3 linked regions of the Danio rerio genome follow. The protein of the gene in region 1 interacts with the protein of each later gene in a biochemical or structural test. Links are inferred from orthologs where the notes say so. Each region holds a gene or a part of one and is shown on either strand. Other genes may lie near its edges.

Region 1 (3,661 bases):
ACTAATTATAATATAATATAAAAAAGTCCTGTATAAGTCTGAAATTTCATTCATAATGGTCTTAAAAATGTCTTAATTTAAGACTGAAACCTGCAGAAACCCTGCAAATATATTTACATTTATACCCTAGAAACAACACCCACACAGAATGTTTAATGCTACATTCAAGTCATATAAATATTTATGTGTTGAAAGTACATGAATGATGGTGTGTCTGTGAGAATACATGTCCAGTGCAATGGATGCAGTGTCTGTTTTGACAGTAAATTATAATGTAGTTGGTCTTTTACACTACAACCCTATATGTGGCATCTATAAAATTGTGTACAGTAATGATTGCAAATATAAACGTTAAATTTTTAATATCAAATCACCACAACAGTTCTTCCTATTTTTAACACTCTTTATTTCTTCTATTTGTAACTCCCGCAATAACAGACAGGGGTCTTTATATACCCTCAAAAAGCCCACACTAGCACACACATTCTCCTTACACATGCGCAGGTCATAAAACATAACAAATAACATCACCTTAAATATTTTATAAACATAAAAAGGAACATTTTGTATTTTTAGTAAAACTACTAAGACATTTTTTAGAGAAGGTACTTTACTGCTTGAAAACATCAGATGTCACAATTAACTCATAAATACAATCTTCCCAGGATTATTTGAAATTTGAACACCATCCAACTATTTATTGAGCAATCTTTGTGAATTAAACAGCTATCTTTCTTTTTTTTTTTTTGGCAGGTAAGGAGCGAGAACACAATCTCCAGGCGGGAGATAATGTGGAGGTGTGTGAAGGGGAGTTGATCAACCTTCAGGGCAAAATCTTGAGTGTGGATGGCAACAAAATCACCATCATGCCCAAGCACGAGGACCTCAAGGTGAAGAAATCGGCACAAGCTGCAGTGTGAATGAAAAGTCAATCATGTTCACCTGATCCTATTAACCTACCGTGAAATGTGTTTAAACATCCTGAAAATCTCATTCTGCATAATGAATCCTTTTTACACTGATTATCTACTTACTGTCCTGACTTCTTTTAGGATCCTCTTGAGTTTCCAGCTCATGAGTTGCGGAAGTATTTTCGTATGGGTGACCATGTGAAGGTCATCGCGGGGCGTTATGAAGGGGATACAGGCCTCATAGTTCGCGTGGAGGAGAACTTTGTCATTCTGTTCTCTGATCTCACCATGCACGAGGTAGGTTTCACTATTAAACTATGGAAAACCACATACAGAAAAAACAACATTGTTTTTTTTTTTTGTCTGAAATGTTGTGCTTCTGTTGCAGTTGAAAGTTTTGCCCCGGGACCTGCAGCTGTGCTCTGAGACGGCTTCAGGTGTGGATGCTGGAGGCCAGCATGAGTGGGGGGAGCTGGTACAGTTAGACCCTCAAACTGTAGGTGTCATTGTCAGGCTGGAGAGAGAGACCTTTCAGGTAAACGCCCCGTGAAAGTGACCTGTTTAAAAGTACATCTAATAGTATGCACTTGCTGGGTGTCTTTTTTTTTTTTTTTTTTTACTACAATATCACTTTTTTTTCCCTCTATAGTCCTTTTAAGGTTAGTCAGGTTACTTTGAGCCTGCCCTAGAAGTGCCCCAGGGCTGTATTTTAGTCACATTGTCGCTTTGTATTGTTTTATACAATTTGTATTGCGGGTACATGTCAAATCTTCAAATCCATCTGTGAACAATATCATGAATAAGGGCTTGACAAACAAAGGTCTGTTGTATGAAGTTTCAACATGAACTAATGATTTTAGAGTTCAACCCATTCTGTTTGCCTTCAAGAATAATTTCTGCCTCCAATACCTATTTTTTATATTTTGATAAATAACTAAATACAGTGTACAAAATCACTGCTGTTTTGTTGTGTATATTCACCTACATTTATTTGATCCGAAAAACAGTCATGTAAAATATTAAACAATTTAAAGTATATATTTTATTATTTGTTAATAGAATTTAATCCTTCTTAGGACTGCTGAAAAGTCATGTTTGGTTACAGCACTTATTGAAAATCTGGTAGCTCTTTACAATGAGGTTACATTTAGTTAAAAAAGCATTTTTCTCAGGCTACTATGTGTAAGTTGGGTAATTTTTTATGTCAATTAATGTTATTTTTATTGCCTTTAATGTGAAATTAATGAACACAAATATAGGAGTCATTTGTTCATTTGAAAGAACGTTTCTGTTGGCACTTAGAGGTTTTTGCATCTGAACCCTTCATATACAACAGATTACAGTATTTATTTATTCTTTGTTTATGTTAAGAAAAATAAAGTTGTTAGCTGTTAGTTCCTTAACTTAATGCAATAACTAAAAAATTATCTTAACAAGCAAAACTTGGGATTATAATAATGTATTAATAATTATTGAACTATAATTAAGATAGGCTGTATATGTGTTATTCATTCTTAACTTAATAAAACTATCCAGTTTATACTGATCTCAGACTTTTGAATATTAATGTATTTAAATAAGCAGAATAAACTATAAAAACATTCAGTATAGACTACAAACTTTTTATTTAAATTTTTTTTAAACAATAAAAAAAAGTTGTTCATGTCATTGATTGAAACATAGGACTTTTTTACTGCAGTTTTCAGTTGGTTGATATTTTCTACTAACTCAGATTTTTTTCCCCCCACAATGACTTGTTTTAGGTTCTGAACATGCATGGGAAAGTTTTAACAGTACGGCACCAGGCAGTGAACAGGCGGAAGGACAACCGGTTTGCTGTTGCTCTCGACTCTGAGCAAAACAACATCCATGTTAAGGATATTGTGAAAGTCATTGATGGACCTCATTCGGTAATTAATTGGATCCTGCGTCTGACAGTTATTGCAAAACAAAACTGCATTGGGTTAACATTAAGTTTCCTCTGTGTGATTTTTCTTTTTTTTTAGGGCCGTGAAGGTGAAATTCGCCACATCTTCAGAGGCTTTGCTTTTCTTCACTGCAAGAAGCTGGTTGAAAACGGAGGCATGTTTGTTTGTAAAGCACGTCACCTTGTACTGGCAGGTGGCTCTAAGGTATGTCTGTCTTGTTATAACGTTGGACCTAAATGCTTTTCATAACTTTCATTAAGTCATTAAACAGTCCTCCTCTGTTTTCAAAGCCCAGAGATGTGACCAATTTTACAGTGGGTGGCTTTGCTCCCATGAGCCCACGCATCAGCAGCCCAATGCACCCTGGAGGAGGTGGTAAGAGTCTTTATGTAATTAAGAGTTGTGAAACAGTGTTGGAAGATCTGGCTTTGGGGAAGATTAAGTCCTGCAGAAGTATTTTAAGTATTTAAACACACAAATAAATGATAACTATTACTGATGTTTTATTTTTCCCTTAACGATTCCTTTAGATATTGTCCAAATTAAGTTCTTAGCAATGCATGTTAAAAAATAGAAATTAGGTTTTGGTTTGCTTACAGTCAGAAATTTGCTAAATGGAATGTACTGCTTACTTGTACAATATATTGCTGTCTGTTCTTACAAATATACCTGTGCAATTTAAGATTTGAATTTTGAGGTCTAGGGTCAGATATTATGTAGATTTGTATTAAAGGAGTAATGGCATTCAATCATTGTTGTGCTATTACACTACAGCATTTTTATTTCTTTTGAAAGTTTTTAGGCTACTGTTTTTCATGTGAT
Region 2 (3,661 bases), on another chromosome or scaffold:
TAAAAATAAAATAAAAAAGTGGCCAACTGCATTTGGATTTCATTAGAAATACAAAAAAAAAAAAAAAAAAACATTGTGTGATACAAAATAGGGTATATGCACAGTTAGTGTTATTCAACCAATAACAAACTTCTGGTTAGAGCTTTATGCGGCTATTTTCAAATTTTTAAGGTTCCTTTTACAGCATGGATGTTGTAATATAATTCAAATATAATCAGTTAGGCGCCTCACAGCAAGAAGGTCACTGGTTTAAGCCTCGGCTGGGTCAGTTGGCGTTGCTGTGTGGAGTTTGCATGTTCTTTCCGTGTTTGCGTGGGTTTCCTTCGGGTTTCCCCCACAATCCAAAGACATGCGGTACAAGTGAATTGGGAAGGCTAAATTATCCATAGTGTATGAGTGTAAATGAATGTGTATGGATGTTTCTCAGAGATGGGTTGCAGCTGTAAGGGCATCCGCTGCGTGAAAACATGTAATGGATAAGTTGGCGGTTCATTCTGCTGTGGCGACCCCAGATTAATAAAGGAACTCAGCCGAAAAGAAAATGAATGAATCTAATCAGTTAAATAGACTTTAGCATCCATGTGGTTGTTAAAGTGTATAAAGAGACAAATGGCTGTTTAAACACAGGTGCTGTCATTGGCAGCAGGCTAGCACAGAAATTCCATTGAAAATACTGGGGTAAAATTAATTTCCATATTTTAATGACATGGTGTAGAAAAATATGATTTAATGCAGTGCTTCCTGTTTGGTCTGATACCCACTTAATATCCTATCTCAGCCAGGCAGTGAAGATCGCTGCTTTTTAATGAAATTACATCTTAAAGGGCCATGAAACCCCCTCGTTTCAGCAGGGTGTTTTCACACCTCTACTTTGGAAAAAGTCAGAAAAGTGGGCGTGTCCAGCTCTGTTTAGGGGGGAGTGTTGGAGGAAGAAAAGTGGGATGGTGTGGGAGTGTCTATTTGGGCACGCGCGAGTTTCAGAGTCAAAATACTCACACATACATACAGGAGAAAGTGATAGTGTGTAACCTACATGGACATCTGTAGTCGAATTATTTGCCAAATTATTAAATGGTGGACTTTAACTGCAGTTTGGCTCTTTCATTCAGGGAATTCATTCATGCCCCTCGAGACAAACGAGATATTTGATTCGAGGAACTGCTCTAAGCATGTATTTTTCGTGCAATGTTTGATACCGCACGGCGAATGAGAGAAAAAAAACCTCTGCATTTCCCGGAAACTTAGATGCACATGGCAGGTAGCGTCAGAAAGCCGCGTGTGTAATGCGGTGAAAACCCTACACGCGGTTAAAGTTTGGTTGTAGTGCTAACATGTTTACACTCTGTGCAATAGTTTGTTCGATACGAACAAACTGAATAAACAAAGAGCGCTGGTCGCTCACTTACCAAATCTGTAGAGACAGGACAATCACCAGCAAATAGAGCCGCGTCTTTATGAAGAGAATACTACAAGCGAATCCGGATCTCAGCGTTTGCAGATGAGAACAGCTCTCAGGTAAACAATGTTCCTCCTTAGACACGCAAGTTATTGTTGTCGAGCGTCGCCTACACTGTAATCCACACATGAGTCTGAGCTCTCACAGAGAGAAAATGAAAACGAAACTTAACTGCAGCAAACTTTAAAAGCTACACTTCACGCTTGTTTGCCCACACAACGTGGCGTCTCTGTCGTCTAAACACTGTGACAGTAATGAATATTAATGAAGTTGCACAATAGAGCGCGCTTATTGGTTTGAACCAAGCCTTACTCATGCATTAATGCATCACACTGTAAGACGTAATAAGACACACTCTGGCACAGATGTCCAGTCTGCACGCTGGAATACAACGCTATTATGTCATGACCGTAACGCAGCTTCAATAATTCCTTTCAAACCGGAAGTACGAATTTGCTTGAAATAACGCAAAAACAACCAATTTACACTTTTTAGTGAAATATATGTGTCCTAATAGTGTTTTTAGCAGTGTGGGACACATATACGACCGTTAACAGCTCAAAAAATGTGTTGTAGTGTTTCGTGACCCTTTAAACGCTGTGATTTTGCAAGGGATGACAATTAACCGGAAGCCCTGCAGCTGGCGGACTAAATTTTAAAAATCTGTGTGCAGATACCCCGTTAAATGTACAACACTTTTAAATTTCATCTATATGTTATCAGGATCATATTTTTATATAATTTTTTTGCCCCCCAAAAATGTTCATGTAGCTTTGCATTATTTCAGTTTAACACTTCAAGTCTCATGGAATGTTTTTGTATCCTTTTCTGGATTTTGAACATCTCTGGAGTGTTGTGGTCTATGAACCCTAAAACATTTTCATTTATCTTCTGATGGTGAACGAAGGTCTCAGGGGATTTTTCATACTTCAGTGAATGAAATGCTTCAATACCTGGGGTAAAAGGGACCTCATAATGGTAGTTTGCTTTATTGATTCTGTTATTTTGCTGTTTTTCCTGTGGAACTGTTTATGAAACAATATGTATTGTCTAAAGATAATTAAAATAACTTGACTTGGAATACTATATAACATAAACAACACTGCTAAAACTAATTATCATATTTTATCATCATATATTCTCTTATTTATAAAGTGTTTCTTTACCCTGTTCAATACTGTCACGTTTCCTCTTGATTCCTATCAGCAGGTTTTCTTTCTCTTTCAGGGCTTCTGTTGAGGAGTTTGGTCTGGGTAGTTGAGGGCCTGGGGTTGGTCCTGGTCTATTGCTGAAATACTTCATTTTCAAAGCCTGGAATGAGAATATTTATTCACTCAGATGCTCATTCAAAAGCAGATTAGTTTTTAAAGGTGGAATTAGAAGTTAGTTAACTGCGGCTGGTCAAAGTTACCTGCATAGCTGTGGTGCGTGAGCAGGGGTTATAGGTGAATAACCCCCTCAGAAGCTCCAGCAGGTCATCGCCGGCAGCACTGAAGATGTGCTCCAGTGGAGTGCCAGGAAATGGCTTAAATGACACATAGTCTGGGAGACTCGACATCCCCTAAAACCACAATCACAATAAATTAATGACTTCATATAGAAATTTAGATTTTGGTAAGCCAAAAAAAAAAAACAAAAAAAAAAAAAACAGTGGTCCCAGTCAGCAGACTGCAAGAAAGAGGCGTAACAAGAAGAATAAATTGTAGCAGGGGCATAACTTAAAATGATCAAGATCCCATTGAACCATGCAGGATGTCAAAAATGGCAGTAAAGATATTTTTCACAATCATTTTCAACAGTTTTCTAAAATATTCATTTTGTATATGATTAAATTTATTCATTTAGCAATAGTCACTCTGTGTTGCCAATTTTTGTTGCATATAATAGTACAACACCAAGCAATGAGCCAAGGCTTCAAGATGTCTTCGTTGCAAAGGACAATCTTAGAGGACAATACTGGTAAATCAGATACATTACATAATTAACATTGTACAAATGCTATGTGAGGGGTAGATTTAGGGGTGGATTAGGTGTGGATGTTGCAAAGTAACGGGCAATTTAATAAACACAAACATCTCTCATTTCTAGAAACAACAGCGTGCATGTGTGTTACAACGTCTATAGTGTACTGGAGCAGATACAGTACATCATTGTACTACACGGTCGATTAAGTACAGCATCTCCTTTTGACCTCTTGTGTGGTTC
Region 3 (2,776 bases), on another chromosome or scaffold:
GTCCAATGATTAATGTTTCGGCTGGTAATATTAATTTTTTTGGGTGAATAATCCCTGTAAAACTTTGGTCTCAAACTCAATTCCTGGAGGGCCGCATCTCTGCACCGTTTTGCTCCAACCCTATCAAACACAGTTGAGCCAATTAATCAAAGTGTTTAAGACTACTCTTGAACACCTTGATTATTTGTATCAGCTGTTTGAAATGGGTCGGAGCAAAAAAAATTCTGGCCCTCCAGGAATTTAGTTTAAGACCCTCATAGGTACAAAATATGTTTTACTGTCGTGTTATTCTGCGTTAATCAAAAAACAAATAAATAAATCACTGACAAAACACACCAGTTCCACTAAAGACTGGTGGAAACACGTTTCATCAGATTACATTTTTGTCCATCTACGGGGTCTGAAAGGCCATTTACAAGTCAGTTACATTATAAAATGCCAAAAATAGACACAGATGAGATAGCATTTGGGTTTGTGTTTAGAAAACAAACAAAAACAGAAATAAAAGGGTGAAACCAGACTAACAAACATGACTGGTCAGCATGCTCCCTAATGGCTCTACAAGTGTCAAGTTGAGGGTTTAAATGCAGGCATATAACAAACATGAACCTAAAAGACCATTTCAGACATTATATTTAAGACGATATTTCATCCAAAACAGATTTCTGAAGAATGCTGGGATCCAATAACCATCAAAGCCTAATGATTAAAACTTTTAACTAAATGATGACAATATTAATTGTCGGATGAAGTATCCCCATAAAACAAAGGTCTCACATTCGATGGCAGGAGAGCTACAGCTGAGCAGTTTTGCTCCAACCCTGATCAAACACTTAATCCAACTAATCAAGGTGTCCATGACTCTTTTGAACACCTCGATTATTTGGATCAGCTGTGTTTGATTAGTGTTGGAGCAAAACTGGAGCTGTGGCCCTCCAGGCATCAAGTTTAAGACCTATGCTATAAAATATAGGTACGCTGAACTAAAGTATCAAGTTCAATATGAATCATTCATAAATACAGAAAGAATGGATGTGATTTGTAAATAAACCAATATTCGTCACACTTCTTGTACTTTCAATCATTTCTGTCCATCACAGATTCATTTAAGTCTGAGGGCCATTTATAGGTCAGTTACATTAGGATAAAACTGTCTATACATGAAAAAACTGAACTGAAATAAATAAAAGGATGTAGAGTGTACAACATACTGCTGTGTATAGTGTATTATAAATGAGTGTGATATTCTACAACCATTTAAAACAATGACTGCATCTGCCTCGGAGGCTAGAACTGTAAGTCTAGTGAACATACCTTCCAAAAAACGACTTGCTTAATTTTTTTTTTTTTTTTAGGTTTTTTTCTTTTAAATAGTCGTCAATTTTCACCATTAATAGAAGTTGAAAGCAAAAATATTTACCAAACAAAACAAAAATGAAACTATTCGTGAATTTAGGAACACATTATGATGCGAATATTGGTGATTTGTGTTTGTGTGCGTGTCCATTTCTCATGACACACATCAAGTAAATACAGACTGGGAAGCAGGTTTACTTACAACAGTATAAAAATAAATCCAGATCTCGTCTGGAGACGCATTCAAGCAACGACTGCTAATAACTATGGATTTAAAAGGCTAATAATAAATACCATACTCCATAAAAAAGACACATATATATTGTTAGCGAACATTTTCCATTTTTGCATTCAAGGTTACACTTTTTTTTTTTTAAAGAGGACCGCGAGTCCCTCTCATTCAGTAATACATTACCCTTAATTCCATTATGCTTTTCTGTTAGCGCGGATATAAAAGTGAACGACATCAAAAAATAGTAGTATGTACAATTATTTTTTTTCTCGTTTCAATAAATAACATTTTTGCCTTTTTTTTTTGCAATATTTTGTTCTACTTTAACATTATTGCCACAGATGGGGTGTTGTGAACGTACTCGCTTGCGCACGCACACACACACAAAGACGCAAGACAACATTAGGGCTTTTTTTGCCTTACATTACTCTGCTGTCAAACGCGACATCACACTAAAGTTAGATGCACACAGGACTCCCGAAAGCACTGATTTGATCAGCGTGTGTGGACGGATGATGCGAGGGGCGCTTTATTTGGGCAATGGGGGCAGAGGTGGAGGTGGTTCTGAGGGTAAAGGTGGCGGCTGTGCTCCTCCGCGAGCGCCACTGCTATAGCGAAACTCTCCGTACTGAGAGCGGTAGTCAAATATCTGAGGTTGTGCCGGCTGGACGCCCTGCGCACTGAGCAGCGAGTTCAACATGTCAAACGTGTCCTGGTACTCGTTCGACTGTCCGGCCGCGTTGTGACCGTTTGTATCCGCTTTGTCCGTCTTGGAGTGCGAATAGTTTCCCTGATGGTGCAGCGAGGGAAGGATGTCGGGCATCACATGAGACGGCACTCCAGGGAGCGTGGGCAACTGAAATGAGTTTCTGGACGATTTGCTGACTTTTGAGGACGAGTGGGTGCTGGAGGAGGAAGGGTCTGGCATGTGGGTTCGTTTTCGCGACATTGATGAAGAGCTCGTCCGCACTGAATCACCTGAGAGCTTTTTGCTACTTCCTGAAGAGCCGGCTGAGTGTTTTTGTGCTGAGGATGAGGAAGACGATGCTGAGAGGGAACCGGCGCTGGAGGAGGAAGAGTGGTGGTGGTGGTGGTGATGATGGTGGTGGTGGTTGGATCGCTCTCTGTGTTTTTCGCGACTTTTCCCGTCTTCTCCAGATCCGCCTCGCCTGTCTGGAACCCGAATGC

The links.
Region 2: of the proteins of supt5h (region 1) and cdk7, one has a biochemical effect on the other in vitro, tested with the Homo sapiens proteins (2 studies listed by BioGRID, with this or other methods). The link is inferred for Danio rerio from reciprocal best matches to the Homo sapiens genes SUPT5H and CDK7.
Region 3: the proteins of supt5h (region 1) and ccnt1 form a complex in vitro, tested with the Homo sapiens proteins (2 studies listed by BioGRID, with this or other methods). The link is inferred for Danio rerio from reciprocal best matches to the Homo sapiens genes SUPT5H and CCNT1.

The regions. Positions count from the first base shown.
Region 1 is NC_133190.1:22,861,928-22,865,588, forward strand, and holds part of supt5h (transcription elongation factor SPT5), read left to right. Parts: intron 1-753; coding exon 754-890; intron 891-1,052; coding exon 1,053-1,208; intron 1,209-1,299; coding exon 1,300-1,446; intron 1,447-2,674; coding exon 2,675-2,821; intron 2,822-2,917; coding exon 2,918-3,043; intron 3,044-3,129; coding exon 3,130-3,214; intron 3,215-3,661. UniProt on the Homo sapiens protein: Component of the DRB sensitivity-inducing factor complex (DSIF complex), which regulates mRNA processing and transcription elongation by RNA polymerase II.
Region 2 is NC_133180.1:56,109,879-56,113,539, forward strand, and holds part of cdk7 (cyclin-dependent kinase 7), read right to left. Parts: intron 3,018-3,661; coding exon 2,868-3,017; intron 2,768-2,867; coding exon 2,623-2,767; exon of another isoform or gene 2,153-2,622; intron 2,105-2,152; exon of another isoform or gene 2,044-2,104; intron 818-2,043; exon of another isoform or gene 1-817. UniProt on the Homo sapiens protein: Serine/threonine kinase involved in cell cycle control and in RNA polymerase II-mediated RNA transcription. Cyclin-dependent kinases (CDKs) are activated by the binding to a cyclin and mediate the progression through the cell cycle.
Region 3 is NC_133198.1:38,766,821-38,769,596, reverse strand, and holds the end of ccnt1 (cyclin-T1), read right to left. Parts: coding exon 2,118-2,776; 3' UTR 616-2,117; downstream 1-615. UniProt on the Homo sapiens protein: Regulatory subunit of the cyclin-dependent kinase pair (CDK9/cyclin-T1) complex, also called positive transcription elongation factor B (P-TEFb), which facilitates the transition from abortive to productive elongation by phosphorylating the CTD (C-terminal domain) of the large subunit of RNA polymerase II (RNA Pol II).